Linked DNA regions of Lonchura striata. The protein of the gene in region 1 interacts with the protein of each later gene in a pairwise test. Links are inferred from orthologs where the notes say so. Each region holds a gene or a part of one and is shown in the gene's direction. Other genes may lie near its edges.

What was found.
Region 2: the proteins of NIPBL (region 1) and MAU2 interact in binary tests that used the Homo sapiens proteins (3 or more experiments, as listed by UniProt). The link is inferred for Lonchura striata from reciprocal best matches to the Homo sapiens genes NIPBL and MAU2.

What each region holds. Positions count from the first base shown.
Region 1 is NC_134642.1:37,526,345-37,541,265, reverse strand, and holds the start of NIPBL (nipped-B-like protein), read left to right. Parts: upstream 1-8,834; 5' UTR 8,835-8,965; intron 8,966-10,154; exon of another isoform or gene 10,155-10,435; intron 10,436-14,921. UniProt on the Homo sapiens protein: Plays an important role in the loading of the cohesin complex on to DNA. Forms a heterodimeric complex (also known as cohesin loading complex) with MAU2/SCC4 which mediates the loading of the cohesin complex onto chromatin.
Region 2 is NC_134630.1:7,623,914-7,639,296, forward strand, and holds the start of MAU2 (MAU2 chromatid cohesion factor homolog), read left to right. Parts: upstream 1-9,223; coding exon 9,224-9,643; intron 9,644-9,880; coding exon 9,881-9,898; intron 9,899-10,145; coding exon 10,146-10,211; intron 10,212-11,105; coding exon 11,106-11,201; intron 11,202-12,172; coding exon 12,173-12,267; intron 12,268-13,719; coding exon 13,720-13,747; intron 13,748-15,293; coding exon 15,294-15,383. Other genes in the region: SUGP1 (SURP and G-patch domain-containing protein 1), read right to left, coding at 3,451-3,663, 5,031-5,134, 6,302-6,473, 8,872-8,896. UniProt on the Homo sapiens protein: Plays an important role in the loading of the cohesin complex on to DNA. Forms a heterodimeric complex (also known as cohesin loading complex) with NIPBL/SCC2 which mediates the loading of the cohesin complex onto chromatin.

The sequences.
Region 1 (14,921 bases):
TCAGGACCGACTTAATATGTCAGTGTATGGGGGAAAAAAGCGCCTTTTATTTATTTTTTTTTTTTTTAACTATTAATGGTAAGAATTAAGAAAGAAAGGTTCTTACGTCTGCACCTTGGCAGAGGGAAACTGAGGGTGCTTCAAGTCTTATGAAGGAACTGGTTTAAAAGCAGCTATTAGTGATAGAAAGCTTTCCATCATATTAAAAATATTTCTGTGGAATCATAAGCATGGGCAGTGCTTCCCAGGAAACTATAAAATGCCAAGCCCACTCCCTTTGAGAAACTCTGAAACTTAAAAGCAGATCAAAACCACACAGCATCAACAAATTTAGTGCTTACAGTGAGGGAAAAGGGGGGATGTTGTCTTCAAGAAGCCAAATTCATTTTTGTAAAGTATTTTATTCTGTATTATTTGTTAAAAGATTTCTTGTCTGCCTAGTTATTCTCCAGTATACTGTGGTAATATAGTATAGATGGAGAATCTACATATTTCAGATAAATATATGAGACATTGAGCTACTTTATAACCTGGGTCCCTCTGGCGTGCAACAGTGAAACAGCACCGGGAAGTGTGCTTTAATCGTTATTCCTTCTCTGGGCTTTTTTTTGTGGCTAAATAAGGATCTCAGTGCACCAGACTAGCAACTCAGAACCTTTCCTGAGCTCTACATTACCAAAAATAGCGTTTAATTAAAAAGTTGCTGTATGTTTTTGCAATCAAAAGCATATATGTGTTTTTGAAGTGTATATGCTGGAGAAAACCTACTGGATCAATAGTACTGTAAATTTTTTGCTTGGCACGTAAAGAGTTCTAAGAGCTTATCCTTAAAAATTCTGCAGGTGGAACCCCCCCATCCCCCACAAAATTCCTAGGGGCAATAGTTAAATATTATTCTACAGCTACCTAAGCATGTAGTTGTATTCCTATGGCCATGTTATTACAGGTCTATAACTTCCCAGAAATTACATAAGAAATTTTCTATTTCAGGCATTTTGACAGCAGTAAATAGCATTTTGAATGAAATTTTTGGTAACTGGACAGATTTTATCTATTACATGTGAAGAACACCAGCCATAAAGAAATCTCATATAGACATTTCTGAACTGCTTTTTGAAGAGTAAACTGGTAGAGGCCTGGTAATAAAATCTTCATTTAAATATACACAATTTTATTGTTGGGAGGGAAGATTATTAAAGGAGTGAGAAGGAGGAAGAAGGTGTAACTGCTAAAGTTAATCAGTTTGGTAGATCTTGAATGTTCAGCTGTTACACGGTTTTATACTAACTTCATAACACCATGACGACCACAGGAATGATATGTAACACAATGTCCATCGTAATGAAACAAAGCCTCACAGCCAGGCCATCAGACATGTATGTGACACTCCTTCCCCATAAGCCATGTTATATTTTTGAGTTAATCATCAACAGTAAAGAAATACCAAGGATTTTTCTCACTTTTGAAGTTCTAGATGGAATTTATGAAAATATATGAAAGCTAAGGAGACGATAAGGATATCATGACTAACTAAAATAAAACATACTTCCCAATAAAATTCAGATGGACTAGAAAAACTGCATTTACCTCTAAAAAACTAGTTTTTGAAACCAAAACAAACTCCCTAAACATCTGTCTATCACTAATTTTATATTATCAATTTTTCATTAAATTTAATTCTAAAGGAAAGCTCAGATATGGGTAACAAGTCTACTTGGCATGCCCCTAGGCTGGACAGTTAACTTCAGTACTTCCGAAGTTTATGAGGCAACATCCGAGTTTAGCAATCTGAAAAGTAATTTGCAGACAATAATAAACATAGCAGAACATTTACATTTTAAAATTAAAAAGAAAAATTGCACTAACTAGTCTAAATGAAGTTTGGTGTGAAAAAAAATTTTAAAAGGAATGATCAATTTTTGTGACAGTTTTCATGTAAGTACTTTTTGTGCTATCCTATAATTTAAACAGAAATTTATAGCATGGCTTTTGCAAATAATCTCTTTGACAGCAGATTATCCCTTATTTGATTGAACATTCTTCAGTCACAAATTCCTTTTCTATAGTATTAAAATGGAATACCCACCAAAGTCAGTTTTTCATTCACTTTCAACTCATAGTGCATTCTTCTTTGGGCATTTGACTATTCTGTAAACACAATTTAGAAGAAAAAAAATAAACCCAGTAAAAAAAACCTAACGATTCTTTAAGTGAAGCAGATAGAGATTCACATCATGGATTATTTTGCCAATGAAGAAAAATCAAAATAGGAAAATAATATAAAGACATTTATATGCTGCCTCTAACCTTTGGGAGCGAATAAGAAGGAAACAATCCAAAACATTAGGGAAAATACAACCTAATGGCAGAGAAAATATAAACATTGCCCAAGGAAATACAGGAGGAAAAAAGCACTTTAACCAGAGGAGAGTAGTCACTAGTGTAGCCTGGGATAAACAAAATACTTTCTTAAGTCTGGAAAAGAGGGGAAATAGCAATGGAAGGTATGAAAGTAACGAGTAAGTTTAGGAAAAAGTCTAGCGAATGAAAGTATATAGAGTATTTTGTGGTGCACATATTTTCCTGACAGGGAAATTCATATTTTGAAAGTTGCCAGGTTATTGTAATTTAAGGATCTATTTAGAAGGCAACTGTCTTTAAAATTGGTAGCGTATTCTTACTTAATTTGACTTGGTTAGTGCAGTGTCTCTGGTCAGAAAAAATAGATGGCTTCAGATGTTTTGATGAACTCTATTTATAAAGACTGTGTGTTCATTATTTTCCTCTGAAACCATGTGAATGTTTCACTCAAGGTCTCAGCTCCTTTTTGGTTGATAGTCATCTTGAATCTCACTTGCTCTGCTTTTCTTACAGCTACATTCCCAGGGTTTGCTCAGGCCTGTGTATGGGTATCTGTGGCTTCTCTGCATCTGTTTCTATGGCATTTTACATCTCTTTTTCTCACATATGCCTATCCCTCAAATATCCAACAAAACATGTGCCAGCCACTTGTGTCTTTGTTTTTGGTGGTGATGACATGCACCCATGTTCTTGTGGAATCTGGCTCTCTTTTTTTCAGAAAGTTAAACTACTTCTTACGGTGATTTTTGAAGAGCACTGCCTATGACAATTAGCTGTAATGCATTTTATCTAACAGCAAGTTTATGGATAACAGACCACGTTAACAAATTGAACCCAGCATGGAAAACATACTAGCAATAGCACAGGTATACAGATCACAGCTTCCTCAGGAGAGTCACTATTATTTTTCATATGAGTACTTGCACTGGAATGCAATCAACAGTGGAAAAAGTTGGTAAACCTACAAAATGTACAATAATAATTCAAAACTACAAATTAACAATGCTGTGTACACTAGTGGTCTTTCATTATCATCACAATTTTAAAATTATTTCCACTTACCTATAAGCTTTAAGCAAACTGCTTATGCTTAGTGTGTTATTTTTTCAAGTGTATACCTTTGAGGCAAAAATTTTCAATGGTGAATTCATCTTTTAATATATGAATTATGTTTAAGAAACCTGATGAAGTTGAACATGTATTTTCAACTAGTGGGAGGATAAATACAGAAATGTAAACATCAAAACCAGGAATTTAAATACATCATGACTGAGAAAAGGACATTTTCCATAAATAGATAATTTTGACGTGATTTTTAAGCTGTGTCATCCAGCCAGAGACATATATTTGCATTTAATTTGAGCTTCTCCATGTCAGCATCTCAATTTTCTGGACCATTTATTGTCCCTGTCAAAAGTTTAAACAAAAATTTTAAAAAGGTTTTGTGCTTCAGAATGCACAGTATTGCAAGTATGTGAGAAATTAAATAAGTGATAAATTTATACTGCTTTCTGGTTCGCTAATGGAGCACCCACACATCTTCTAAAGTCCTGACAAAGTAGATGCAGTGCTATTTGTCCCTGTGGCCATACTTAGAAGCAAATTTCCAGCACATGTCCAGCTACATTAAAAAAAAAAGATGAAAATAAAAGTTATAAATTGAATACTCAGCATTCAGAAAGTAACAGATTATGTTTTATTTATCCTTACTCATTTTCTTTTCTTATCTTAAAATCAATAAATTAGGCTTCAGAAGTCATTTTCATTACAAATTGATGCTGACAGCCTTAACTCAAAGAAGTGCAAAAGTTACTCATACTTATTTCATTTTATTGCACTATATTGCACAATCTCACTGTAACATCCTTTCATAAAGGCCACAGGATGTCTAAACTAAGAAGGACATCTGCTACAGGTTAGAAGTCTGGTTTAGACACTGTGTAGGACTTATTTTAAAATGTCTTCATATGAACAAATATCTCAACTGATAGCCAAATTTCAAACAACTTTCTTTTATCAGGTTACTGTATCAGATCATTAATTGCTTGACTAAATAAATAATTAGAAATGTGAATGTGATTTATCCCTAGATGGGGAGCTACAGTTTCTTCTTACCTTCCTTTTATCAAGTCACTTTGAAAATACTGCTTTAGGTGTGTCTATAAAATGCAACATAATTGGAACAGGCATGGACATTGGAAATAATCTGTCTAAAGATTGCACATTAAAGTATTTGAACAGACATTGGCACAGGCTCAAAGCATGCCAGCTTGCACTTTCCCAGAAAATTCCTGTGCACAATTTAGGCATTAGTATTAGTCACGAACCATTCTCAATGGGTAAAAAATACATGTGACTATCCTGGGTAAAACATGGAACATTATGTGGCTACAAGCTCCAATGCCAGAGAACAGTCCCAGGCATGTTTAACCTGATATTTATATGTAGCCATTTCATGCTTTGGCTGAGGATAATTAACACTTCTGAAAAATAGGAAAGTTCTCTCTTCCAAGGAAGCAGTTTTTAAAGGCCTGAGCCCAAGGCACTTCTTTTAACATACGCTATATAGATAAGCATATCTCTGTTTTAAATCTTCCTTTTCTGGCAGGTTCATTAAAAATGGAATGGCAAGGCATGTTGTGATATTCTCAATTTTTTTAATGCATACAAATATGATGTTTTGAATGCAGAGCTGAATATAACAGCCCTTAAGACCAATTTTAACTTCTGTCTTTTGCCAGAAGATGACTGTCCACATTTATTTGCTGGCCTGTGAAGTTCTGTATTTATTTAGTTTTACCTCTTAAAAAGTGTAGAAAGAAAAAAAAAAAAGCCTGAATATTTTTGTATTTCTCTCTTAAATTTTTCCATAGTGGGCCTCAACAACAGTCTTGTAGGAAATTGAACAGTATTTCTGATGTGGCTAACATGACAGTAAGTTGTCCTCCCAGTGCCTAGACAAACCAAGACAATTGAGAGAATAGAGTTATATAATGCTCAAATTATGAACAAAAAAAACAACCTCCCCTCCCAAAAAACCCCAAACAACAACAACAACAAAAAAAAAAAACCAAAAACTAACCAAACAAATAACAAAAGAAAAAAAATCCCAACCAAACCAAAAAACCACCACAAAAATTATAGGAAATCACAGCATGTATCAGGAATGATACCTGCTTCCTTTCTGAAGTCCAGCAATGGTGAGAAAAGGACCTAAAGAATATCATTGGCAATGTGCAACTGATCATGTATCTTCTCTAAAAAATCAGCTTCTGTTAGATCTGTTTTTATAGCCCTGATATAACAATTCTGGGACAATCTTGTCCAGCAGTCTATCATTGGTCTTTTTTCAATTATATAATTGAATATTTGCCTTATTGAATATATGAATAATTGAATATGTGTCTTATTATTACACATATTTTGTAGTCTAAATTACATGTTTTAATTTTCTTTATTTTAACTATATTCAGAATCCCTAGTACTTTGCATAATTAAGAGTTTACTTTAACATTCAAATGAAACTACCAGAATTTTGTCTTGTCATTTTTTCTTCATAGAAACATTATTGTACAATTTAACATATATGCCTGCCATAGAATTCATATTAAGTACAAACAGAAGCTCATTCTTAACATGGTAGAGATAACACAAGTTTGCCACTTAAAATGAAAATGTACATTTAATTTCATAGTAAATTCTTCTTAGTCAATTAAGCTAAATAATTAGAAGAAGGAAAAAATATTGCATCCATCTGGTTTACCAGGAAAAAGAAATAAAATTCAGTAGTCTCCATGAAGCTGTAAACTTAAGGAAGTAACCATACAAACATTTGACTCCTCAGGCTTCTTTGACTTTTTATTTAGCCTGTGCCACTGTCAGTTTCATATTTAGGTTGCTTACTTTCCACAGCGAATATTCCCATGTCAATTAGTTACATGGTGCTATTATTTGTTCCTGTGAACTAAAGGCAATGCAAAGAATATACCTTTGTATTAGTTGTCATACAGCATGCATTATGAAATTCTTCGTAATCATTGTGTAGTACAGCCTTAACACCAGATTCTTATAGAATTCTTAATAGAGTACTTCTAATAGTACTTCTATTAGTACTTCTTATAAAGTACTTAAATTTAGGATGACAGATAACAATTGCATTACTGTATTCAGATAACCAGCTACCACTTTTTATAGGAAAATTCTTTCCAGTTATTGAGAGAGTATATAAAATATACAGTTGTAATTTTAAAAAATACTTTATTGTTATGTCCTAATTATTTTAAATATCTACTTAGAAATACATATACTGTAATAAGGGTAATATACATACCTATGAATTACTAAGAGGTAAACAGAAAGCAGTGTTTGTGCATCACAACTTAAAGTAACAGGTAAACAACTTAAAATTACATGTATTTGAATGTTATACTGGCCCTTAAAGAGACAAAAATGATAAAAACCAATGCATTTTTCATTAATTCTACAGAAAAAAAAACAAAACAAAACGACAAAAAACCCCAACAAATTACAACAATAATATCTAAGGAAAATATTAGTTCCAGGTGTTTTATTTTACTCCAGTATTACATGCTGTACATAATTGATGAAGCTGAATAACAACATATAGCAGTCAGGGAAGTTAACATCAGAGTGAAGAGGGCAAAAGAGGTCCCTTCTTTATTATTTTCAGCAATACTATCTTTGCATTTATAAAGCTTATCTCAGTACACAGCAGCAGCAGTTGTAAACAGCAGCAAGAGACATACTTACAGCTTTCCATATGTTTTGTGAAAATGTTATGAGTAGTCTCTCCATGAAGATTTTTTAAATTCCTGCCTTTTGAATTAAAATTTACTTTGAAGAACAAAAAACTAATCTAAGAGTAACAGACTGGATAAATAGCTTAAATTTAGGGGAACTCAGTCATTTGTTTTGGGCAGAAGATGCATTTGCCCTTAACATCAAAGGGAGCAGGATTAGGTTCTAAAGCTTTACCCTGAAACTTGCAGTTAATTTTCTGGACTACATAGGTGTGGATTTGTCAGGGTAATTCAGAGAGCTCTGCCCTTCTCCATACTGCCACCAGTTTTGTTCATGCAGTGTATGCTCCTTAGTGTGCTACAGTCATGGTTGCATGGCTGCATAGCTCCTCCCATACAGATTAGGGCTATCCCCACCCCATGACTCAGGCCTGGAACACAAATAAGGTTTAAAGGCTTTTTGCAGTAGTTATCAGGTAATCTGAAATACTTGATTTATCACTTCACTGGTCATTTCAGGCATAATGACACGAACCCTGTGCATACTAAGGTGCTTTAGGAATGTAGTGAACATCCATTCTGCAATAGATTGTTGTGAGTGAGCTTTTGAAGCAGAATACAAGCAACTGCTTGTCTGAATGAAGACAAAGTATTCGATCTTTCATTTTAAAAAGCATAATAAAAATATTTAATTTCCTTAAGGAAAATAAATTCCTGATTTGCCCATGTGTGTTACACACCACCTTCTAGAAGAACTAATGGCTTAAATTAGTTGTTCTCTTGTGCAGGTAATACAGCATAGTACTCAAGTAAAATAGCCACTTCTACAAGATCTTTTAATTGAATGGTATTTTAAAAGCATTAAATGATCTAGTGATATTCTCACTGAAACCATAATCAAATAGGACTTGTGCCAGACCATAAAATCCAAAACATATTTGGTATTTGAAAATTAAAATTTCAATGTTCTGTATTTTATTTACATATTAATTCACGAACTAAGAAAAAAATAATTATTTGAATGGATTGCTAAAATCATGGAAAGACTACATCAACATGAATCGGTAACAATCACTCAGAAGTAGATCGAAATAGTATTCCTGAGCTTTGTAATTTTAGAATTACATTTTCCTGGAAATTCATAGATGTATAAGTACACATACATATGCTAGGTGAATTCCAGATAGGTAGCTCCTTAAATTATATTTTATTTCCAAGAGAATGTAAATAGTTTTCCCCTTGAGTTGCAGAGTTGCAATGTATTAAATTAAGTGCAAAGACATAAGGACACACTTTGTTTGCAAGACCAATTATTTACCTTTATTTCAAATTGCTAACTTCAAATTATAAATGCATAAACGATTTTAGGATCTTTTCTATTAACCTGGAACAAAGGTCTGTAATACATTTTTTTCAGAACCCAGTTTACTCTGTCTCTGTTAATACGTGTCATTGGAACAATAGTATTTCCACTACTGAATTACCGTGTTTTCCAGTGCCCTCTTCATTTCTGTGCTTTTAAGCAAAAACATACTTTAAGACAAACTTTGATTCACCCAAAATTACGAATTTTGTAGTAGTTTAAGCATAAGAGAGGCATTTGAAATCTGTATTAAAGACAGCACTATTCAAAAAATCCTAAGCATTGGAGAGATCAGGTGCACTGGTGTAAGATTTTATCCCTTTGTGCAAATAACATTCATCCAGCGCTGAAAGGGTGTGTTTATATGTCACAGGGTATTTACAGCTGTGTCCAGCTGATTCCTGAAGTCGACAGTCAAGGAGTTCTTCCTCTAGAAATGAAAGGAATTTTGTCCAAGTACTGAGCAGCAAATCGACATTAAGTGAGTACCAAAAGACACAGTTAATTCATGGGATGTAAATGCTTCTTCATTATTACCCTGTGCTATAATTATTCAGTTTTACCTGTACAGCGGGACATCAAAAAGTCTTTCAGACCAGGACATGCTCTGTCTCCAAACACTCCTTCACAACACAAAAAATATTTCCAGTAAATCTGGTGGTGGTGGAGCCTGAGCCTCCAGCGAAGGACATTTCACCTGATCAGTATTTTCCCCAGTGCTGGTCCAAAAAGTCCGTTTTTGAAAGTCACTCTCGTTCCCTATGTCCATCTGGAAATCCCTCGCCCCGGCAATGCTTTGAGCAGCGGGTCTTTGGTTCCTGCGGGGCGGCCTCTCACGTCCACAGAGAACGGGCATGAGCGGCGACAGTCACTCCAGCGAGTGTCCCACCTGCAGGGGCTGCCGCCCTTGAGGGTTCAGTTTAAGGGCTGTTTCCAGGTCTGCCTCCTGCGAGGCAGCCTTCGGCAGTCCTCCTCCTCGTCCTCTCCACCATGCTTAGGCAGGACAAAAAAAAACAACCAACCAACCACCACCACCAACAAAAAAACCCGAACAAACAAACAAAAAACACCAAAACGTATATTCTTTTTCCAAGAGAATCCCTTCTTCACAGTTCCTCAGAGCAGGTTTAAACGTAAGCTTCGGTCTCGTTCCGCGCACCAAAAGGCAGGGAGGAAGGGGAAAATAAAAAAAGAAAAAAAATAGAGAAGGTCGTGCAGCAACCGGAGGGGTGTGGAAGGGAGAGGAGCTACGGAGGGGAGACTGCCGGGAGAGGCGAGGCAAGGGAGCCCCTCCAGCTGCAGCGGCGGAAGCGGCGCTGGTGGAGCGAGGGAGCGATCGGGTGAGGAGGAGGCAGCGGAGGGAAGGGGGAGGTTGCTGGTGTTTGGCGCCGGTGGAGGGAGTCATTCCTGCCGCTGCACTTCCGGTCGGCATTTTGTTCTGAGAGGGAGCGAGAGAGACACACAGGATCCTTCCCCCTCCTCCTCGCCCTTCTCTCCCTCTGCCCCCCCGCTCGGTACCGACTCACCGTGCCCAGGCCGCCCCTCCCCGCCCTCCTGCGCTCGCACTCTCGGAGGGAGCGGCGGCGGCGGCGGCCCCTTGGCAGCGCTGCCCCTCGGCCACCCTCCGCTCTCCCCGGCTCGGAACCGGTTCGGCGCGGCGCGGCCCGGCCCGGCCCGTGTTGATGTTGTGAAGCAGGCTCGGGGGGAAGGGATTTGCCTCGGCCGCACACCCCCCGGCTCTACATGTTCGCTGCACTGAGGAGGAGACGGAAGAGGAGCCAGCCCCCCTCCCGGCCCGGATTATTGTTGTTATATTATCTCCCCTCCTCCTCCTGCTCCGCGGCGGCGGCGGCGGCCCAGCGGCGGCGGCGGCTCCTCTGAGGAGGGAGGGGGGCGGATTTCTCTCCCCCCCTCTTGGATTCTCGTTGGATTCAGACGCCGATTTGCTCAGGTAATCCCCCCTCCTTGTCTCCCCTTCCCCTCCCTGCCCTCTCCAGCAGCGGGCTGGGCCTCTCAGCCCAGCGGCCCAGCACTGCCGGGAGCAGAGGGGATTAGCTGCTATCCAGGGTAGAGGGGAGTAAGTGGCAACCGGAGGTGTTTATTTCGCAGCCCCCCCTTCCTTCTCGGTCGGGTTTGGCGGAGGTGGATGGTTCGTGCCGGGCTGCCGGAAGGCCCAGGCCCGGCGGAGGGCGCAGGCCCGCCGGCCAGCGCCTTTACTCCAGCTCGGGGATTAGAAAGGCGAAGCGGCTGCTCAGTGACAGGCCTCAACCCGAAAAGAGCAGCAGGAGGAGGAGGAGGAGGAAACAATGCAATTAGTCGCAAATGTGCATTGATCCTTTCCCATATTTACAACTTCACCTAGGGCAAGGAAGGAGGGTCCCAGCGCAGACAGCCCTTTGAAGTGGGACAGGAGTAAGTGGAGGCGTAGGGAAGGAGACAATGTAAATACTCAGGAACAAAAATGCCACTTGTCTTTGCTATCACCTTATTCTTCTAATCAAGTGTGATCTGAACATTCAAAAGTTTAAATGCTTTGTTTTTATAATCTGCAGACGTCTCATTTCTAAATAACGTTATTGATTAGTATGTTAATGACTTAGTATATTTATAGCATAAAATAGTGCTTGAAGGATATTGACACAACATTGGACACCTGCAGACCCAGGAAATACAGGTAGCCAAGCATATTGTATCAGGTACTCCACACAATTTTTGTGTCTGTGTCCTGTATACACTACAGGAATATATGTTAAAGGAAGGAATGCCATTTTCTGCTTCTAGTAAACAGAAAACAAGCAAGGGATCGTGTGTAAAATGCTGTGTTTATGACATTTAAGGGACCAGGGTGAAGATAAGATCTTAACCAAAGTACTTCAGAATCACATGTAAATTTATTTAAGTGCAATGTGAGGAATGCTTAAAAAGTGTCATCTTTTCTTGTCAGGCTATATCACTTTGAGATCCTGAGGCTGTTATTGGCTGTTTGTGTCTATGATGTTTGAATATGTAATTAGGCATAATTTTTACAGGTCAACTGTGTTTTGAAAATGACTGTTATTAGTCTCATGTCTTTATAAATAAATAGTAGCTGACGTGCAATAAAGTAAATCTAAGACTTGTAAGTGGTAGAGTTGTAAGTGTTGCTAAAAACTTAGGCACATTTAAACAAACACCCTGTGAACTAATAAAAATACTTCTACAGAAATTACATTGCTGCAAGAAATTTTAAGATACAAAGTTTCCATCCTTGTAGCGAGGAGTTTTGTTAGTGGCAATCGTTTATTGATACTAGATAATTTGTTAAATTTTCAGCAGGCTTTTTGGTTATTCAGGTAGATTTGCTGTTATAATATATGGTTACTATATCTAATAAAGTAACTTTCTGGGGCGTTGTGTTCAGAGACTTGTAAACGAAACTGCTACCGTGCCTCCCGCGTGCCCTGATACATGTTTAAAAGGGTGAAGTTAATATAGCTGTCACGTAGAAGGCGTGTTTTTAATGCTGTAAATCCGTGTAGTAGTCAGTAGCGTGTCCGTGATTTGTATTGGTCAGGGAGCAGTTTGAATTTTAAAAAGCCAGAAGATCCTGCTGAGCCCCAATCGCGGCCTCCCTTCCTCCCACTAATCTCCCATTCCTGTCTTTGTGCTGCCTGGTCCTGTTAGACACTGTTTGCAACAGGGCCTCAGGCCTACGTGCGTGGAGAGGAACCATTTACAGTTCGAAAAAGCAGCTTTTTATTTTTAAACTTTGTAAAATGCAGAGGGAGCCACTAGTCGTCTCTAACTGTCCCCACCTCGGTGTCTAACAGCAGAATTGCTGTTTGCTTTTGCCGTGTAGTGTACAGTGGACACCGAGTGTAACTCTGCTTCACAGGAAAGAAAGGACTGTGCAGAAGTAGTTGTAGTTCTTGGGTAGTTTTCATCATCAGGAAGCGACATTACAGCCCTAGCGTTTCTTGCGTCTATGTTTCAGGCAGCTGCCGTTCTAAGAAGAATGTGTTTGTTGAGCTAACAGTAGTGAACTTTTCTGACTGATTTTTCATTTAAGGAGGGTTGCTTTAAATATTCTCGATATGAGCAGGAAATGAGCTACTGTAGTTACACAGTTCCTGTCAAGTTTATCTTGCCAGGGCTGTGTGGTTGTGTTTACAGCACCCTTTTTTTTTTTTTTCCCTTTTTTTTTTTTTTTTTTTCAGAACGGATGCACTTTTCTGGAATGAAAAACACTTGTATTTTTTTCCCATTATATAAAGGAAAATATAAGATGTTGTCAATTTTAATTGTAATTCGTTTTTTGGGTTTGTTCTTATGAGCCATATGTGGTTAATCTGGAATTAGTTGCTTGATCACAGTTTATATAGTTTAACAGAAATATTTAAAATTGAAATATTTATAAGAGGACTTATTTTCCTTTTGAATTGCATGTTTTATCATATTTGAGAGTGTGTGTGTGCATATGTGGAGCAGGCCTGTAGCATTTTCATACTACTTTTCTCCTGATGTTAGGAGCTTCTGCTGGTTCTGGTGTTTATCATAGCAGCTAGCTGCTTAAAGACAATGTATTTATTTTATTGATGTTGTAGAAATACAAAACTAATTATTCTCAAGAGGCTAGTTGTAACTATTACTTTATCAAAAAGAGGAAAATGCTTATTTCTACATTTTATTTTGCACTTTTGCCTGCTTTGTGCATTTTGAGTTTACTTACTCTGCACAGGTTAGTTTTTTTCCTCTCAAATTTTTGAACATTTTACCTGAAGTTAGTCCAACACAAATCTCTTCCTGAAGTCTTTTACTGTTGATTCAAGCTGAAGCTGGTTTTTTACTTGTAAAAAATCAAGACACAGAAGCAGGCATACCAGTAAAATAATATATTTTTTTTAAATTTGCAGTGTTTAAATTTTGACTTAGAAGCAAGATGGATCAGAGAAGCAAAATTATATACCTAAGCCCTTTTGAACATCATTATTCTACATAAAAGCACAGGTACCCCATGAAACCTTATGCTTGGGACTCCATGTATATAAATGTTATTCTTGAAGAATCAAGGACATAGATAGTAATTTCCTTAGGACAGAAGAGTTTTGTTTGTGTTGTTGCATTAGTGTAATTATTAAGGTACTACAACTTTAATCCTAAGTGTTTCATATATATAGTCCTTTGCAATATAAATAAACTATATTTTGGAGCATACTAGGTGAAAAATATTACATTACAAAGTGTTGGACTAATTGTATTGCATTTATATTAATATTTCATAAAAATTGCACAAGGCATATGAAGTTTCTGGATAAATACTGTAACTAGAGAGAAAAAAAAAAACTTTTATCCTGAATATCTAGGCCTAGGAAAGAAATCAAGTCTTCAAATTCACAACTTTATGATTTCTAGAAATTATGTTAAAGGAGTGTGTAATATTCATGAATGTGTGTAATTTGGATAACAACCATGGGAATACTGAATCAGAAAAATATGAGTAGCAATAGCTTGAGAATTTGTTGAGTGTAGGTGTGAGGTGGGTCAGCTGGCATTAGGGTGGCTATTTAGTATCACAAAACACTAAAAGTATTTAACATTTGAATGTTAAAACGGCCATTTCAGTATCATACCACTTATTTTTTATCTTGTTTTTGATTTGCCTTTATTAGAAGTAGTTTGGGTTAGGTTAGCATCTGATTTTGAAACATCAGCAGTAATGAACAATCAGTTGCAGAGAAACCTGCAAGGAAATGCTTGAAATTGGTTATACCTGTGTATTTTTGCTAATAACTCTGTACAATAATGATCCCTTTTAATAATAAAAAAGGAAGTATTATTGAAATTAAGAAAACAAGTATTTAACAATTACAAAGTCCTTAATATAATTAATCTACATTTGTATTTTTATTTTCTTTCTATTATAAACATAATTCTTAGTTGCTGATCCTGACCCCCAAAAGGTGCAAAAGAAGTGCTTTATATTGACATGTATGACACCCCATGTGTAAGGAAATTGCGTTTGAGGAGATCGTGTAGCACCTGTCATTTGTGTTTCACTTCCTGTCCCTACTGCTAACCATGGAAAATCTCCCCATCAAAAGGGAGGGAAGAGAGCATTTTGGCCCAACTGTATGTGGAAACCAAAAAGGATTCCAGTCAGATTGAATGTGATTGTTGATACGTCTTTTAAGGTGATTACTTGGTCTACACAAATAACTTCAAAATAATGTAAATATCCAAGACCAGTTTTCATGTTGAAGTGATAAAAAATTCTAGAAAAGGTAATTTTATGGCCTTTAGAATTTGTATTGGTTTTAAGTGTAAGTAATCAGAGATCTCAGATTCTTTTTGTATTAGTAGAGAACTAAATTTTTAATTTTATTGCTGTGGTTTGATTTGAAGTGCTCTGGTTTTTGTAGCAGTGTATATGTGTAGACATGCAATGCATTTTAGTGGAA
Region 2 (15,383 bases), on another chromosome or scaffold:
TCATCACCCTCCCCACAGCCAGGAATTACTTCCCAAAATCCCTCCTAAATGCACCCTCCCTCAGTCTGAAGCCACTCCCTGGCTCCTGGAATTCCACCCCTTATCCCAGATTTTCCGCAGCTCCAAAATCCCACCTAAATCCACCCTCCCTCAGCCTGAAGCCACTCCCTGGCTCCTGGAATTCCACCCCTTATCCCAAATTCTCTGCAGCTCCAAAATCCCACCTAAATCCACCCTCCCTCAGTCTGAAGCCACTCCCTGGCTCCTGGAATTCCACCCCTTATCCCAGATTCTCTGCAGCTCCAAAATCCCACCTAAATCCACCCTCCCTCAGTCTGAAGCCACTCCCTGGCTCCTGGAATTCCATCCCTTATCCCAAATTCTCTGCAGCTCTCCCGGAGGCCTTTCAGGCCCAGAGCTCTGCCTGGAATTTCCCTTCTCCAGCTCCCAGGGATAGCCACAGCTTCTCTGGGAATTCCAGCCCATTCCAGCCAGGAATTCCTTCCCAAAATCCCAGCCAAATCCCCCTTTTTCTGTTTAAATCCATTCCCTGTGTCTGTCCCTCCATCCCTTGTCCCAAATCCCTCTCCAGCTCTCCCGGAGCCCCTTTAGGATCTGGAAGCAGCTCCAAGGTTTTCCTGGAGCCTTCCCTTCTCCCACTTTCCTTGGGCATTCCAGGGATTGGGAATCCACCACCCCATCCCAGTTTGGAGGTTTCAACTGTGCCCAGCTCATCCCAGCTTTAGCACAGTTGGCTCCTGCTGGATTTGTTCCCTAAAAATCCCAGCAGGGAAAGAGCAGGAATTTGGCTTAATCCATATTCCAGCTGCCAAGCCATTCCCAGAACATTCCAGCCTGTGTGGCCGGAGCAGCAGCTTTTCCTGCTCCAAAAAAAAAACCCCTTGGAGTTTGGATTCTGTGCCCAGGAATTCTCACGGGGATCATGGAGTGGGAATAAACCCGGAGATTTTGGGAATTTTGGGAAGGCAGAGTTTGGTTTCTGTGCCCAGGGTGGGAATAAACCCGGAGATTTTGGGAATTTTGGGAAGGCAGAGTTTGGTTTCCGTGCCCAGGGTGGGAATAAACCCGGAGATTTTGGGAATTTTGGGAAGGCAGAGTTTGGTTTCCGTGCCCAGGGTGGGAATAAACCCGGAGATTTTGGGAATTTTGGGAAGGCAGAGTTTGGTTTCTGTGCCCAGGAGTTCCTACAGGGATCACGGAGTGGGAATAAACCCGGAGATTTTGGGAATTTTGGGAATCAGCCCCAGAATCTGCAATTACGGCAAAGCCAGCGCAGCTCTCTGCAGGTTCCCAGCACGTTTCACGCTCAGTTCCCGAATTCCCAGGCCTGTGCTGGTACAAATCCCAGCAGAAAGGGTTCTGTGGGATTCTGGGCATGGATAAAGGCAGCCACAAAGCCGAGCTCCTTTTATCCATTAAAACCCACCCGTGAAATTCCCATTCTAAGGCAAATCTGCCTCGGGGCTTCCTGCCCTGGATTATCCCAATAAAACCCGGGATAATTCCTGCCACTCCTTGTTTTTCCAGGCGTTCAGGACCTACAGGTGAGATTTTTTTTACCTGGATTTTGGATTTTACCTGGGAACAGCTCCGTGCTGGATGTGTCGTTTGTTTTATTTATTCGCACGCATGGATTTGCCCTGCATGTTCCCAAACTAATTCCTCCTTTTCCAGCACTTAAACCCCCCAAAATCCCATTTTAAGGACAAGAATAAGGATTTCTTGGAGAGCCCAGCACAACATTCCAAAGGTGCAAATGGAATTTTTGGGATTTGCCACCCACCAAATCCATCAATACACATTTTCTCCTATCTGTTGTTTTCTGATATTTTTGCCTGGCTAAGCTCTCAGACAATTTGAAGACAAAAAACTTTCCAGGCTGAGATCAGTAATGTTTAAACACTGAACTCAAGGAAGGTCAGGAATATCTAAAATATCAGGAATTCAATAAGTCAAATATTGGGAATTTCATATCTAAAACGTCAGGAATTTCATCCCTTAGATTTCAGTTGGAATTGGAAGAGCCCACCAGCATTAATTGCTGGAATTTTCACTCCATAAAGGAGAAATCTGCCCCAAAACTGTGCTGGGAATACACATTTATGGTAAATAGGGATAAAGTAACCAGCTTTCCAATGGGGCTGAGGGAATCCTGTCCAAACTGAGCCTATCCCGGGATAAAACCACCCCAAATCCTGTCCCAAACTGAGCCTATCCCGGGATAAAACCACCCCAAATCCTGTCCCAAACTGAGCCTATCCCGGGATAAAACCACCCCAAATCCTGTCCCAAACTGAGCCTATCCCGGGATAAAACCACCCCAAATCCTGTCCCAAACTGAGCCCTGTCCTGGGATAAAACCACCCCAAATCCTGTCCCAAACTGAGCCTATCCTGGGATAAAACCACCTCAAATCCTGTCCCAAACTGAGCCCTGTCCTGGGATAAAACCACCCCAAATCCTGTCCCAAACTGAGCCCTGGGATAAAACCACCCCAAATCCTGTCCCAAACTGAGCCCTGTCCTGGGATAAAACCACCCCAAATCCTGTCCCAAATCGAGCCCTGTCCTGGGATAAAACCACCCCAAATCCTGTCCCAAATCAAGCCCTATTCCGGGAGGGAATCCTGCCCTGCCCTGTCCCTTATCCTAGCATAAATCCAGCCAACTTCCCACTAGGACTGAGGGAATCCTGTCCCAAATGGATCCCTTATCCCAGATCCCCACTCCTCCCGGGGAATCCTGTCCCAAACGGATCCCTTATCCCAGATCCCCACTCCTCCCATGGAATCCTATCCAAAATGAACCCTTATCCCAAACCCCCACTCCTCCTGGGGAATCCTGTCCCAAACAGATTCCTTATCTCAGATCCCCACTCCTCCCAGGGAATCCTGTCCCAAATGAACCCTTATCCCAAACTCCCACTCCTCCCAGGGAATCCTGTTCCAAACGGATCCCTTATCCCAGATCCCCACTCCTCCCATGGAATCCTATCCCAAATGGGTCCCTTATCTCAGATCCCCACTCCTCCCATGGAATCCTATCCCAAACGGATCCCTGTCCCAAACCCCCACTCCTCCCAGGGAATCCTGTCCCAAACGGGTCCCTTATCTCAGATCCCCACTCCTCCCAGGGAATCCTATCCCAAACGGATCCCTGTCCCAAACCCCCACTCCTCCCAGGGAATCGTATCCCAAATGAACCCTTATCTCAGATCCCCACTCCTCCCAGGGAATCCTGTCCCAAACGGATCCCTGTCCCAAACCCCCACTCCTCCCAGGGAATCCTGTCCCAAACGGGTCCCTTATCCCAAACCCCCACTCCTCCCATGGAATCCTGTTCCAAACGGATCTCTTATCCCAAATCCCCACTCCTCCCGGGATTCCTGCCCACGTTCCCGCTCCAGGCGCGGGCAGGAGCCGCCGCTGACCTTTGATCTCCAGCCACTGCTCCTCGTCGTCCTCGTTGTCCTCGTCGGGGCCCTGGAAGACGCTGAGGCGGCGGAGGCCGGGGCCGGCCTTGGGCAGGGCGAGGCTCCGCGCCTGCAGCACGCGGCTCCGCGCCGGCGCCGGCCGCTTCAGCAGCGCCGGCCGCTTCCCGGGGCCCGGGGATGGGGCGCTGCCGGGGGGATTCGGGGTGCTTTCTGTGGGAAATAAAGGAAATTATTATTGGATCCTTCCTGGGGATCAGGGATGGGGCGCTGCCGGGGGGATTCGGGGCGTTCTCTGGGGGAAATAAAGGAAATTATTATTGGATCCTTCCCGGGGCCCGGGGATGGGGGGATTTGGGGCATTCTCTGTGGGAAATGAGGAAATTATTATTGGATCCTTCCTGGGGATCGGGGCCGGGGCGCTGCCGGGGGGATTCGGGGTGTTCTCTGAGGGAAATGAGGAAATTATTATTGGATCCTTCCTGGGGATTGGGGATGGGGCGCTGCCGGGGGGATTCGGGGCACTTTCTGTGGGAAATGAGGAAATTATTATTGGATCCTTCCTGGGGATTGGGGATGGGGCGCTGCCGGGGGGATTCGGGGCACTTTCTGTGGGGAAACGAGGAAATTATTATTGGATCCTTCCCGGGGACTGGAGATGGGGTGCTGCCGGGGGAATTCGGGGCACTTTCTGTGGGGAAATAAAGGAAATTATTATTGGATCCTTCCTGGGGATCAGGGATGGGGGGATTCGGGGCATTCTCTGGGGGAAATGAGGAAATTATTATTGGATCCTTCCTGGGGATCGGGGATGGGGCGCTGCCGGGGGGATTCGGGGCACTTTCTGTGGGGAAATGAGGAAATTATTATTGGATCCTTCCCGGGGTTTGGGGATGGGGGCGTTCGGGGCATTCTCTGGGGGAAAACAAGGAAATTATTATTGGATCCTTCCCGGGGATCGGGGATGGGGCGCTGCCGGGGGGATTCGGGGCACTTTCTGTGGGAAATGAGGAAATTATTATTGGATCCTTCCCGGGGTTTGGGGCTGGGGGGATTTGGGGCATTCTCTGGGGGAAATGAGGAAATTATTATTGGATCCTTCCTGGGGATCAGGGATGGGGTGCTGCCGGGGGGATTCGGGGCACTTTCTGTGGGAAATAAAGGAAATTATTATTGGATCCTTCCCGGGGATTGGGGATGGGGCACTGCCGGGGGGATTCGGGGCACTTTCTGTGGGAAATAAAGGAAATTATTATTGGATCCTTCCTGGGGATCAGGGCCAGGGAGCTGCCGGGGGCATTCTCTGGGGGAAATGAGGAAATTATTATTGGATTCTTCCCGGGGTTTGGGGCTGGGGGGATTTGGGGCATTTTCTGAAGTGAGACGGAAAGGAAATTATTCCTGGGAATCCTGGGTTGGGCTGGGAGAGGCTCCAGGTCTGCCCCGGCCGCTTCCTCCCCAGGTTTGGAGCTGGGGCATTCTCAGAATGTTTGGGGGATTTGGGGCAGTTTGTGAGGGCAGAATGACGGGGACAGAATTCCCGGGAATCCCAGGATTGGGCTGGGAAAGGAAGGACCTACCAGCATTGGATTTTTCCCTCTGGAGCTTCAGGAATTGCTGCAGGAAGCTCCCATCGTTCACGAACTTGTTGGACACGGAGGCCTCGCTCTCGGAGCCGTCGTCACTGAGCGGGGACAGAAAAACAGAGGCTGGAATTTGGGAGCTTCCCTGCCCTTCCCATGTGGGATTTGGGACAGGAAAAACCCCTGGAATTGGTCATTTTCCTCACCTACCACCGTACTACATAAAGAACCCCAGATCTTCTTCCTCTTTCATTAAAATTGGGATTTTCCCCACCCTGTTCCACTAAAAATGGGATTCTTGCTCCCTAGTCCACCAAAAACGTAATTTTCCTCCTTCTGCTCCATTAAAATTGGGTTTTCCTCCCTCTGCTCCACCAAAACTGGAATTTCCCCCTCACCGCTCCACTAAAATTGGGATTTTTGCTCCTTAATCCACCCAAACTGTGATTTTTTCCCCCTCTTCTCCACCAAAACTGGAATTTTCCTCCCCTTGCTGCACCAAAACTGGTATTCTTGCTCCCCAATCCACCAAAATCGTAATTTTCCTCCTTCTGCTCCATTAAAATTGAGATTTTCCTCCCTCAGCTTCATTAAAACTGGGATTTCATCCCCGTGCTCCATTGAAACTGGGATTCTTGCTCCCTGATCCACCAAAACCTCCTCCTGCTCCATTAAAATTGGGATTTTCTTCCCTCTGCTCCACCAAAACTGGGATTCCCCCCCCGTGCTCCATTAAAACTGGGAATCTTGCTCCCTAATCCACCAAAACCTCCTCCTGCTCCATTAAAATTGGGTCTTCCACCCTCAGCTCCACTAGAACTGTGATCTCGCTCCCTCTGCTCCATTGAAACTGGGATTCTTGCTCCCTGATCCACCAAAACCTCCTCCTGTTCCATTAAAACTGGGGTTTTCCCCACTCTGCTCCACTAAAACTGGGATTTCCCCCCCGTGCTCCATTAAAACTGGGATTCTCCCCCGTGCTCCATTGAAACTGGGATTCTTGCTCCTCAATCCACCAAAACCTCCTCTGCTCCATTAAAATTGGGATTTTCCTCCCTCAGCTCCATTAAAATCGGGATTTTCCTCCCTCAGCTCCATTAAAATCGGGATTTTCCTCCCTCTACTCCATTAAAATCGGGATTTTCCTCCCTCTGCTCTGCCAAAAGCGGGATTTCCTCCCTCGGCTCCCTTCCCAGCGGCGGCAGGCAGGAGGCCGGCGTTCCCGGGATTCGTTCCCGGGATGATTTGTTCCCGGGATTCCCACGCACTCTCCGAGCAGCGGGAGCTGCGGGATGCTGAGGGAATTCTGCCGCGCCTGCTGCTCCAGCCGCGCCTCGATCTCGCGCTTCTTCTGGGCGATCAGCTCCTCCTGCTGCAGGATGTTCACGCTGGCCTTGGCCGCCCTGGACTGCGCCACGCCGAACCACCGGCTCGCCTTCCCTGCGGAAAGGGCGGAATCAGCGCGGGAATTGCCTGGAATCAGGGGTGCATTCCCTGGGGGAACAGGGCGGGAATCAGCCTGGGAATTGCCTGGAATCAGGGGTGGATTCCCTGGGGGAACAGGGCGGGAATCAGCCTGGGAATTGGCTGGAATCAGGGGTGCATTCCCTATGGGAACAGGGCGGGAATCAGCCTGGGAATTGCCCGGAATCAGGGGTGCATTCCCTGGGGGAACAGGGTGAGAATCAGCGCGGGAATTGGCTGGAATCAGGGGTGGATTCCCTGGGGGAACAGAGCGGGAATCAGCCTGGGAATTGCCAGGAATCAGGGGTGGATTCCCTATGGGAACAGGGCGGGAATCAGCCTGGGAATTGCCTGGAATCAGGGGTGCATTCTCTATGGGAACAGGGCAGGAATCAGCCTGGGAATTGGCTGGAATCAGGAGCGCATTCCCTATGGGAACAGGGCGGGAATCAGCCTGGGAATTGCCTGGAATCAGGGGTGGATTCCCTGGGGGAACAGGGCGGGAATCAGCCTGGGAATTGCCTGGAATCAGGGGCGCATTCCCTGGGGGAACAGGGCGGGAATCAGCCTGGGAATTGCCTGGAATCAGGGGCGCATTCCCTATGGGAACAGGGTGGGAATCAGCGCAGGAATTGCCTGGAATCAGGGGTGGATTCCCTGGGGGAACAGGGCGGGAATCAGCCTGGGAATTGGCTGGAATCAGGGGTGCATTCCCTATGGGAACAGGGCGGGAATCAGCGCGGGAATTGGCTGGAATCAGGGGTGGATTCCCTATGGGAACAGGGTGGGAATCAGCCTGGGAATTGCCTGGAATCAGGGGTGGATTCCCTGGGGGAACAGGGCGGGAATCAGCCTGGGAATTGGCTGGAATCAGGGGTGCATTCCCTATGGGAACAGGGCGGGAATCAGCCTGGGAATTGCCTGGAATCAGGGGTGGATTCCCTATGGGAACAGGGCGGGAATCAGCACGGGAATTGCCCGGAATCAGGGGTGCATTCCCTATGGGAACAGGGCGGGAATCAGCACGGGAATTGCCTGGAATCAGGGGTGGATTCCCTATGGGAACAGGGCGGGAATCAGCACGGGAATTGGCTGGAATGAGGGGCGCATTCCCTATGGGAACAGGGCGGGAATCAGTGCGGGAATTGTCCGGAATCAGGGGTGCTTTCCCTGAGGGAAAAGGGCGGGAATCAGCTTGGGAATAGTCCAGAATGAGGGACACATTCCCTGAGGGAAAAGGGCAGGAATTAACTTGGGAATTGTCTGGAATGAGGGGCGCATTCCCTGAGGGAAAATGGCGGGAATCAGCTCGGGAATTGTCTGGAATAAGGGACGCATTCCCTGAGGGAAAAAGCGGGAATTAGTCTGGGAATTGTCTCGGAATTAACTCCAGAATTGTGAATGAGGGGTGCCTTCCCTGAGGGAAAAGGCTGGGATTGAACAGGGATCACCCCAAATCCAGGGGCGCATTCCCTGAGGGAAAAGAGTGGGATTTAATAGGGATCACTCCAGATCAAGCTCACATTCCCTGTGGGAAAAAGGCAGGATTAGAGTAGGAGCCACCCTGAATTCAGCTTCCCTCAGGAATTAAGGGAGAGACCATCCCAAACCAAGGCTGGTCTTCCCTGTGGAAAAAAGGGGGAAAGAACAGGGACCATCCCGAAATTAGGGGCATCTTTCCTGAGGGAAAAAGCTGGAATTTAACAGGAACCATCCTGAATCAAGGGTCGCATTCCCTGTGGGAAAAGAGAGGAGATTAACACAGGCATCATCCCAAAACAAGGCTTGCTCTCCCTGTGGGAAAAGGGAAGGAATAAACGGAGGGATCATCCCAAACTCAGCTTCGCTACAAAATAAAAAGAGAAAAAAAATCAGCAGCGGGGTCTCCACGAACCACCAGCTCAGCTTTCCTACGGGAAAAGAGAGGGAACGAACAGCTGGGGCTCCTGTGGGAAAAGGGGAGGAAAAATCATCCGTGGAGCCTCCCCGAGCTATCGGCTCTGCTTCCCTGGGGGAAAAAGAGAGGAAAAATAACGGGGAGACCACCCCGGACCCCAGGCTCGGTTTTCCTGAGGGAGAACGGGGGGAATTAACAGAGCAGCCATCCCGAACCAGCAGCCCGGCTTCCCTAGGGGAAAACGAGCCGGGAACGGCGGCGGGGATCCGTCCCGGAACGAGGAGGGGGAAAAGGAGGGGATTTAACGGGGCGGCTTCTCGCAGCCCCCGACCCTGCCGGCACACCCCCAGCCCGGGCGCACACGCCACCCCCGCGTCCCGGAGCCCCGGGGGCGGCGGGGCGAGGCGGGGGCGGCGGCGGGGCGGGAGGAGCGGCGGGAGCGGCGGGAGCGGCGGGGGCCGCCCGGCCGGGCCGTACCTGGCGCATCCCGCTGGTTGTCCATTTTGGAGCCCCCGTCCCAGCGTGCCCCGCGCCGGGCGCGCCGCGCCGGGGGCCGCGCCAGCGCCGGCGCCCCTGGGAGATGTAGTCCCTCAGGGAGCCACCGCGCCGCTCTCCCCGCTCCTCCCGCCGCGCCGAGCCCCGCTGGAGGGGCGGCCGAACCGCCCCGCTCTGGCGGCTCCGCCGCTACGCTCGTTCCCCGGTTCGCCCCGCGTTCCGTCGGTGCGGGAGGGCAGACTACAACTCCCACCGCCCCTCCGCGCCGGCGGCGTTCGGACTCCAAGTCCCGTCGTGCCCCGCGCCCCGCGGCGGTGTTGTCGGCGGCCCCAAGATGGCGGCGGTGGCGGCGGGCGCGGCGGCCCCTCAGCAGCCGCCGCCGCCTCAGCAGCCGCCGCAGCCGGCGGGAGGCGGCGGGAGCGGCTCCGGGGAGGCGGCGGGAGCGGCGGGCGGCGCGGGAGGCGGCGGCGGAGCTGCCGGAGGCGGCGGCGGCGCGGCGGGGCCTGCGGCGGGCTCGGGGTCGGGCGGCGGCGCGGCCGCGGGCGAGTCGTGGTACCTGGCGCTGCTGGGCCTGGCCGAGCATTTCCGCACGTCCAGCCCGCCCAAGGTGCGGCTGTGCGTGCACTGCCTGCAGGCCGTGCTGCCCCGCAAGCCCCCGGCCCGCATGGAGGCCCGCACGCACCTCCAGCTCGGCTCCGTCCTCTACCACCACACCCGCAACGGCGACCAGGCCCGCGGGCACCTGGAGAAGGCGGTGAGCGGCGCTGGGGCGGCCTCGGGGGCACCGGGCAGCGGCTGGGGGCGGTGGGCGCGGGGCTCCGGCTCTTGGAGAAGGTGAGGAGAGGCGGGAGGGGCGGCTGAGAGGTGCTGGCGGCGGGGGAAGATGAGGAGCAGGGCAGGCGGCGGTGGGAGGCTCCGGGCACGGAGCAGGAGGGTGCCAGGCGGTGCTGGGGGGGTTCGTGCCAGCCTAACCCGCTGTGTTCTCTTGCAGTGGCTGATATCCCAGCAGGTATCCTTTTCCCGGGATCCAGGAAAAGCTCCGTGCTTGGAACAGCTCCAAGGAAACCCCCAGAACACCTCAAGGGCCTGGGGACGGGGGCATGGGATGGGTGGTTTTAATGTGCTTTCACAGAACCGCAGGGTTTGGGTTGGAAGGGACCTTAAATCCCCTCTCACCCCCATTTTCCTGAGGGGTTTTGGAGGCTTTGCTGCTCTTTCCCACCCAGATTTTGTGTTTCCCTTAACCCTGGTGCCAGATCCCCCAGTTTGAAGATGTGAAGTTCGAGGCAGCCAGTTTGCTGTCGGAGCTCTACTGCCAGGAGGTGAGAGAACCCCCCAAAACCCCTCTGTGCCCCTCGGATTTGGGCTTGGAACGGGGTAATCCCATGAAAAAATCCCATTTCTGCCACGAGAGGCTTTTTTCCTTCCTTACTGAGGGAGTTCCTGCTGGAATTGCAGCAAGAGTTTCCCACTGCAAGAGGATTTTGCTTGGCCAAATAAATCTTTGGGTCCTTATTAAACGAATGTTAATTTTACGGGCAGGGGAGAGGGAGGGAAATCCATAATTTCCCTCAGGATTTTGAATATCCTGGAATGGTTTGGATTGGAAAGACCTTAAATCCCATCCAATCCCACCCTGCCACGTGCAGGGACACCTCCCAAAATCCCAGATTTCTCCAAACCTCCAAAACCCCAGATATCTCCAATCTTCCCAAAATCACAGATTTCTCCAATCTTCCCAAAATCCCAGATTTTTCCAGGCCTCCCAAAATCACAGGTTTCTCCAATCTTCCCAAAATCCCAGATTTCTTCAGTCCTCCCAAAACCCAGATTTCTCCTGTCAGATTTCTCCAATCCTCTCAAAATCCCAAATTTCTCCAATCTTCCCAAAATCCCAGATTTCTCCAATCTTCCCAAAATCCTAGATTTCTCCAGTCCTCCCGAAATCCCAGATTTCTCCTATCAGATTTCTTCAGTTCTCCCAAATCCCAGATTTCTCCAGTCCCATCCCGCCCTGCCGTGGCCATTCCAAGGACGGAGCAGCCCCAAACTTCTCCCACTTTAATTTTCTTTTTTTTTTCCAGCACTCTGACCCCTCCCAGCCTCGCCTCCGGGCGTGGTTTTCCCGGGAATTCCCGTGGTTTTCCCGGGAATTCCCGTGGTTTTCCCGGGAATTCCCAGCTGCTGGGTGCTGACTGGGGCTCTTTGCCTTGCAGAATTCCGTGGACACGGCCAAGCCCCTGCTGCGAAAAGCCATCCAGATCTCCCAGCAGACTCCCTACTGGCACTGCAGGCTGCTCTTCCAGCTGGCCGTGAGTCCCTGCAGCAGCAATTCCTGGGGAAAAATCCCTGGAAAAATCCTGCATCCCCCTTCAGAGCAGCCTGGAAGCCTTGCAGTCTGATGTTCCCTAAAACATTGCTGCAAACGGCTGCTTTTTATCCCTTTAGTTCCTAAAAATTTGTCGTTAGTGGAGAGGGAAAAGGCAGTTGGTGTTGGATTGGATCAAGGAATCGGCCAGGATCACTCTGTGGGAATCGGAGACCTGGAATTCCAAGGATGGAGGGAGAAAATCCATTTTGGGGTTTGCAGGGAGAGCAAATCCTGCTGGGGTTGGGAGCGTTGTTTTATGTCTAATGTGGGATGGGAGGAGTAGGAAAAGTAACCAGGAAAAGGAGCAAGGAAAAGAATCCAAGGAAAATTCTTGTTCCTGATTTGGAATACATTCCAAAATACTTGTAAATTAAAAAATATTTATAGGAATAGAGGCACGCTGAAGCGTATTTATGGAAAAAGAACTTTAATTCCCTTTGGATTAAGGAATATTTAGTTTTCCAGGAGTTCATCCTGAGGACTCCGAAGCTTTTCTTCTCCTTGGAGTTTCCCATTTTTCCCATTTCCTTGGAGCTTGTTCTCTTCCTGAATTCCCACCTGGGGTTGGGAACGGGATCAAATTTGGGAGCACACCTCGGAGGCTCCTCTTGCTGGGAAAACTCTTGCTCCAGTGTGACAGTCCCTGGGTTTTTTGGAGCTGTTGGGATCTGATCAACACTGGATTTTCACCCTTTGCCATTTTTAACCAATTTCTCACTAATTAGGAATTTGAAGGCGAAAAAAACCCTTCTGGGCTCAGACAAATCCTTGGAAACGCCACAGACGTCTTTGGAAAACGGGCGTGAAACCCCTTTAAGGAGCAGGAATTTGCAAATCCAGGGATAATGGTGTTTTCTTGGGATTCATGGAGCAAACCCTGAGTTTTTGTGGCTGTTTTTATTCCCGTTTCAGCAACTCCACACGCTGGAGAAGGATTTGGTGTCGGCCTGTGACCTGCTGGGCGTGGGGGCCGAGTACGCGCGCGTGGTGGGCTCCGAGTACACCAGGTGACAATTCCCGAGGGATCCCGGCATTCCCGCCTCAATTCCTGGGATTCCATCCCTGAATTCCCTGGGATTTCATCCCTGAATTCCCTGGGATTTCATCCCTGAGTTCCCTGGGATTTCCTGCCTCAGTTCCCTGGGATTCCATCCCTGAATTCCCTGGGATTTCATCCCTGAGTTCCCTGGGATTCCATCCCTGAATTCCCTGGGATTCCATCCCTGAATTCCCTGGGATTTCATCCCTGAATTCCCTGGGATTTCCCGCCTCAATTCCTGGGATTCCATCCCTGAGTTCCCTGGGATTTCATCCCTGAGTTCCCTGGGATTCCATCCCTGAATTCCCTGGGATTCCATCCCTGAGTTCCCTGGGATTTCCCGCCTGAATTTCCTGGGATTCCATCCCTGAATTCCCTGGGATTTTATCCCTGAATTCCCTGGGATTTCCCGCCTCAATTCCTGGGATTCCATCCCTGAGTTCCCTGGGATTTTATCCCTGAGTTCCCTGGGATTTCATCCCTGAGTTCCCTGGGATTCCATCCCTGAATTCCCTGGGATTCCATCCCTGAGTTCCCTGGGATTCCATCCCTGAATTCCCTGGGATTCCATCCCTGAGTTCCCTGGGATTTCCCGCCTGAATTTCCTGGGATTCCATCCCTGAATTCCCTGGGATTTTATCCCTGAGTTCCCTGGGATTTCATCCCTGAGTTTCCTGGGATTTCCCGTCTGAATTCCCTGGGATTTCCCGCCTGAATTCCCTGGGATTTCATCCCTGAATTCCCTGGGATTTCCTGCCTGAATTCTCTGGGATTCCATCCCTGAGTTCCCTGGGATTTCCCGCCTCAATTCCTGGGATTCCATCCCTGAGTTCCCTGGGATTTCCCGCCTCAATTCCTGGGATTTCATCCCTGAGTTCCCTGGGATTTCCCGCCTCAATTCCTGGGATTTCATCCCTGAATTCCCTGGGATTTCATCCCTGAGTTCCCTGGGATTTCATCCCTGAATTCCTGGGATTCCATCCCTGAATTCCCTGGGATTTCCCGCCTCAGTTCCTGGGATTTCATCCCTGAATTCCCTGGGATTTCCCGCCTGAATTCCCTGGGATTCCATCCCTGAATTCCCTGGGATTTCATCCCCAAGTTTCCTGGGATTCCCTGCCTGGATTTCCTCCCTGAATTCCCTGGGATTTCTTCTTGGAGTCCCCTGGGGTTTCCTGCCTGAATTCCCTGGGATTTCCCGCCTGAATTCCTGGGATTTCCTCCCTGAATTCTATGGAATTTCCTCCCCTAATTCCCTGGGAATTCCTCTATCAGCTGCCCTTATTCTCTTTTTCCCTGTTTTTAGTGGGAGAAAAAGGCAGATTTGTTTTTCCTGGTGGTTTGTTGGTTTGTTTGTTTGTTTTTTCCTGTGGATGGAGTAATTTCTTTTGGAATTTAACTTTATTTTCCTTTATTCCAGAGCTCTCTTTCTGCTCAGCAAGGGGATGGTGAGTTGCAAATCTTTTTAAAATAAATTATTCCCTGTTTAATTGCAAATTCCAGAGGATTTTTTTTTTTTTTGGGGGGGGAGAGAGGGGTGGGAATCAGGTGAATATTCCAATCCTAATTTCTGGAATTGGAGAATCCTGGAATTGGAGAATCCATTGAATTGGGGAATCCTAGAATTGGGGAATCTATGGAATTGGGGAATCCGTGGAATTGGGGAATCTATGGAACTGGAGAATCCATGGAATTGGAGAATCCTGGAATTGGGGAATCCTGAAATTGGGGAATCTATGGAATTGGGGAATCCATGGAAGTGGTGAATCCATGGTATTGGGGAATCCATGGAATTGGAGAATCCCTGGAATTGGGGAATCCCGGAATTGGGGAATTCTCCCGGCTTTCCCTTGGGATTGCCGTTCCTGAGGGATTCTCCCGGCTTTCCCTTGGAATTACCATTCCCGAAGGATTCTCCCGGCTGTCCCTTGGAATTACCATTCCCGAGGGATTCTCCCGGCTGTCCCTCGGGATTGCCATTCCCTCGGGATTCTCCCGGCTGTCCCCTGGCACTGCCATTCCCTCGGGATTCTCCCGGTTTCCCCTGGCATTGCCATTCCCTCGGGATTCTCCCGGCTGTCCCCTGGCACTGCCATTCCTGAGGGATTACCATTCCCTCGGGATTCTCCCGGTTTCCCCTGGCACTGCCATTCCCTCGGGATTCTCCCAGCTGTCCCCTGGCACTGCCATTCCCTCGGGATTCTCCCGGCTGTCCCCTGGCACTGCCATTCCTGAGGGATTACCATTCCCTCGGGATTCTCCCGGCTGTCCCTCGGGATTCTCCCGGTGTCCCCTGGCACTGCCATTCCCTCGGGATTCTCCCGGCTGTCCCCTGGCACTGCCATTCCCTCGGGATTCTCCCGGTTTCCCCTGGCACTGCCATTCCCTCGGGATTCTCCCGGCTGTCCCTCGGGATTCTCCCGGTTTCCCCTGGCGTTGCCATTCCCTCGGGATTCTCCCGGCTGTCCCTCGGCATTGCCATTCCTGAGGGATTACCATTCCCTCGGGATTCTCCCGGCTGTCCCCTGGCACTGCCATTCCCTCAGGATTCTCCCGGTGTCCCCTGGCACTGCCATTCCCTCGGGATTCTCCCGGCTGTCCCCTGGCACTGCCATTCCCTCGGGATTCTCCCGCTTTCCCCTGGCACTGCCATTCCCTCGGGATTCTCCCGCTTTCCCCTGGCACTGCCATTCCCTCGGGATTCTCCCGCTTTCCCCTGGCACTGCCATTCCCTCGGGATTCTCCTGCTTTCCCCTGGCACTGCCATTCCCTCGGGATTCTCCCGGTGTCCCCTGGCACTGCCATTCCCTCGGGATTCTCCCGGTTTCCCCTGGCACTGCCATTCCCTCGGGATTCTCCCGCTTTCCCCTGGCACTGCCATTCCCTCGGGATTCTCCCGCTTTCCCCTGGCACTGCCATTCCCTCGGGATTCTCCCGCTTTCCCCTGGCACTGCCATTCCCTCGGGATTCTCCCGCTTTCCCCTGGCACTGCAGCTGCTGCTGATGGAGCGGAAGCTGCAGGAGGTGCACCCGCTGCTGACGCTGTGCGGGCAGATCGTGGAGAACTGGCAGGGCAACCCCATC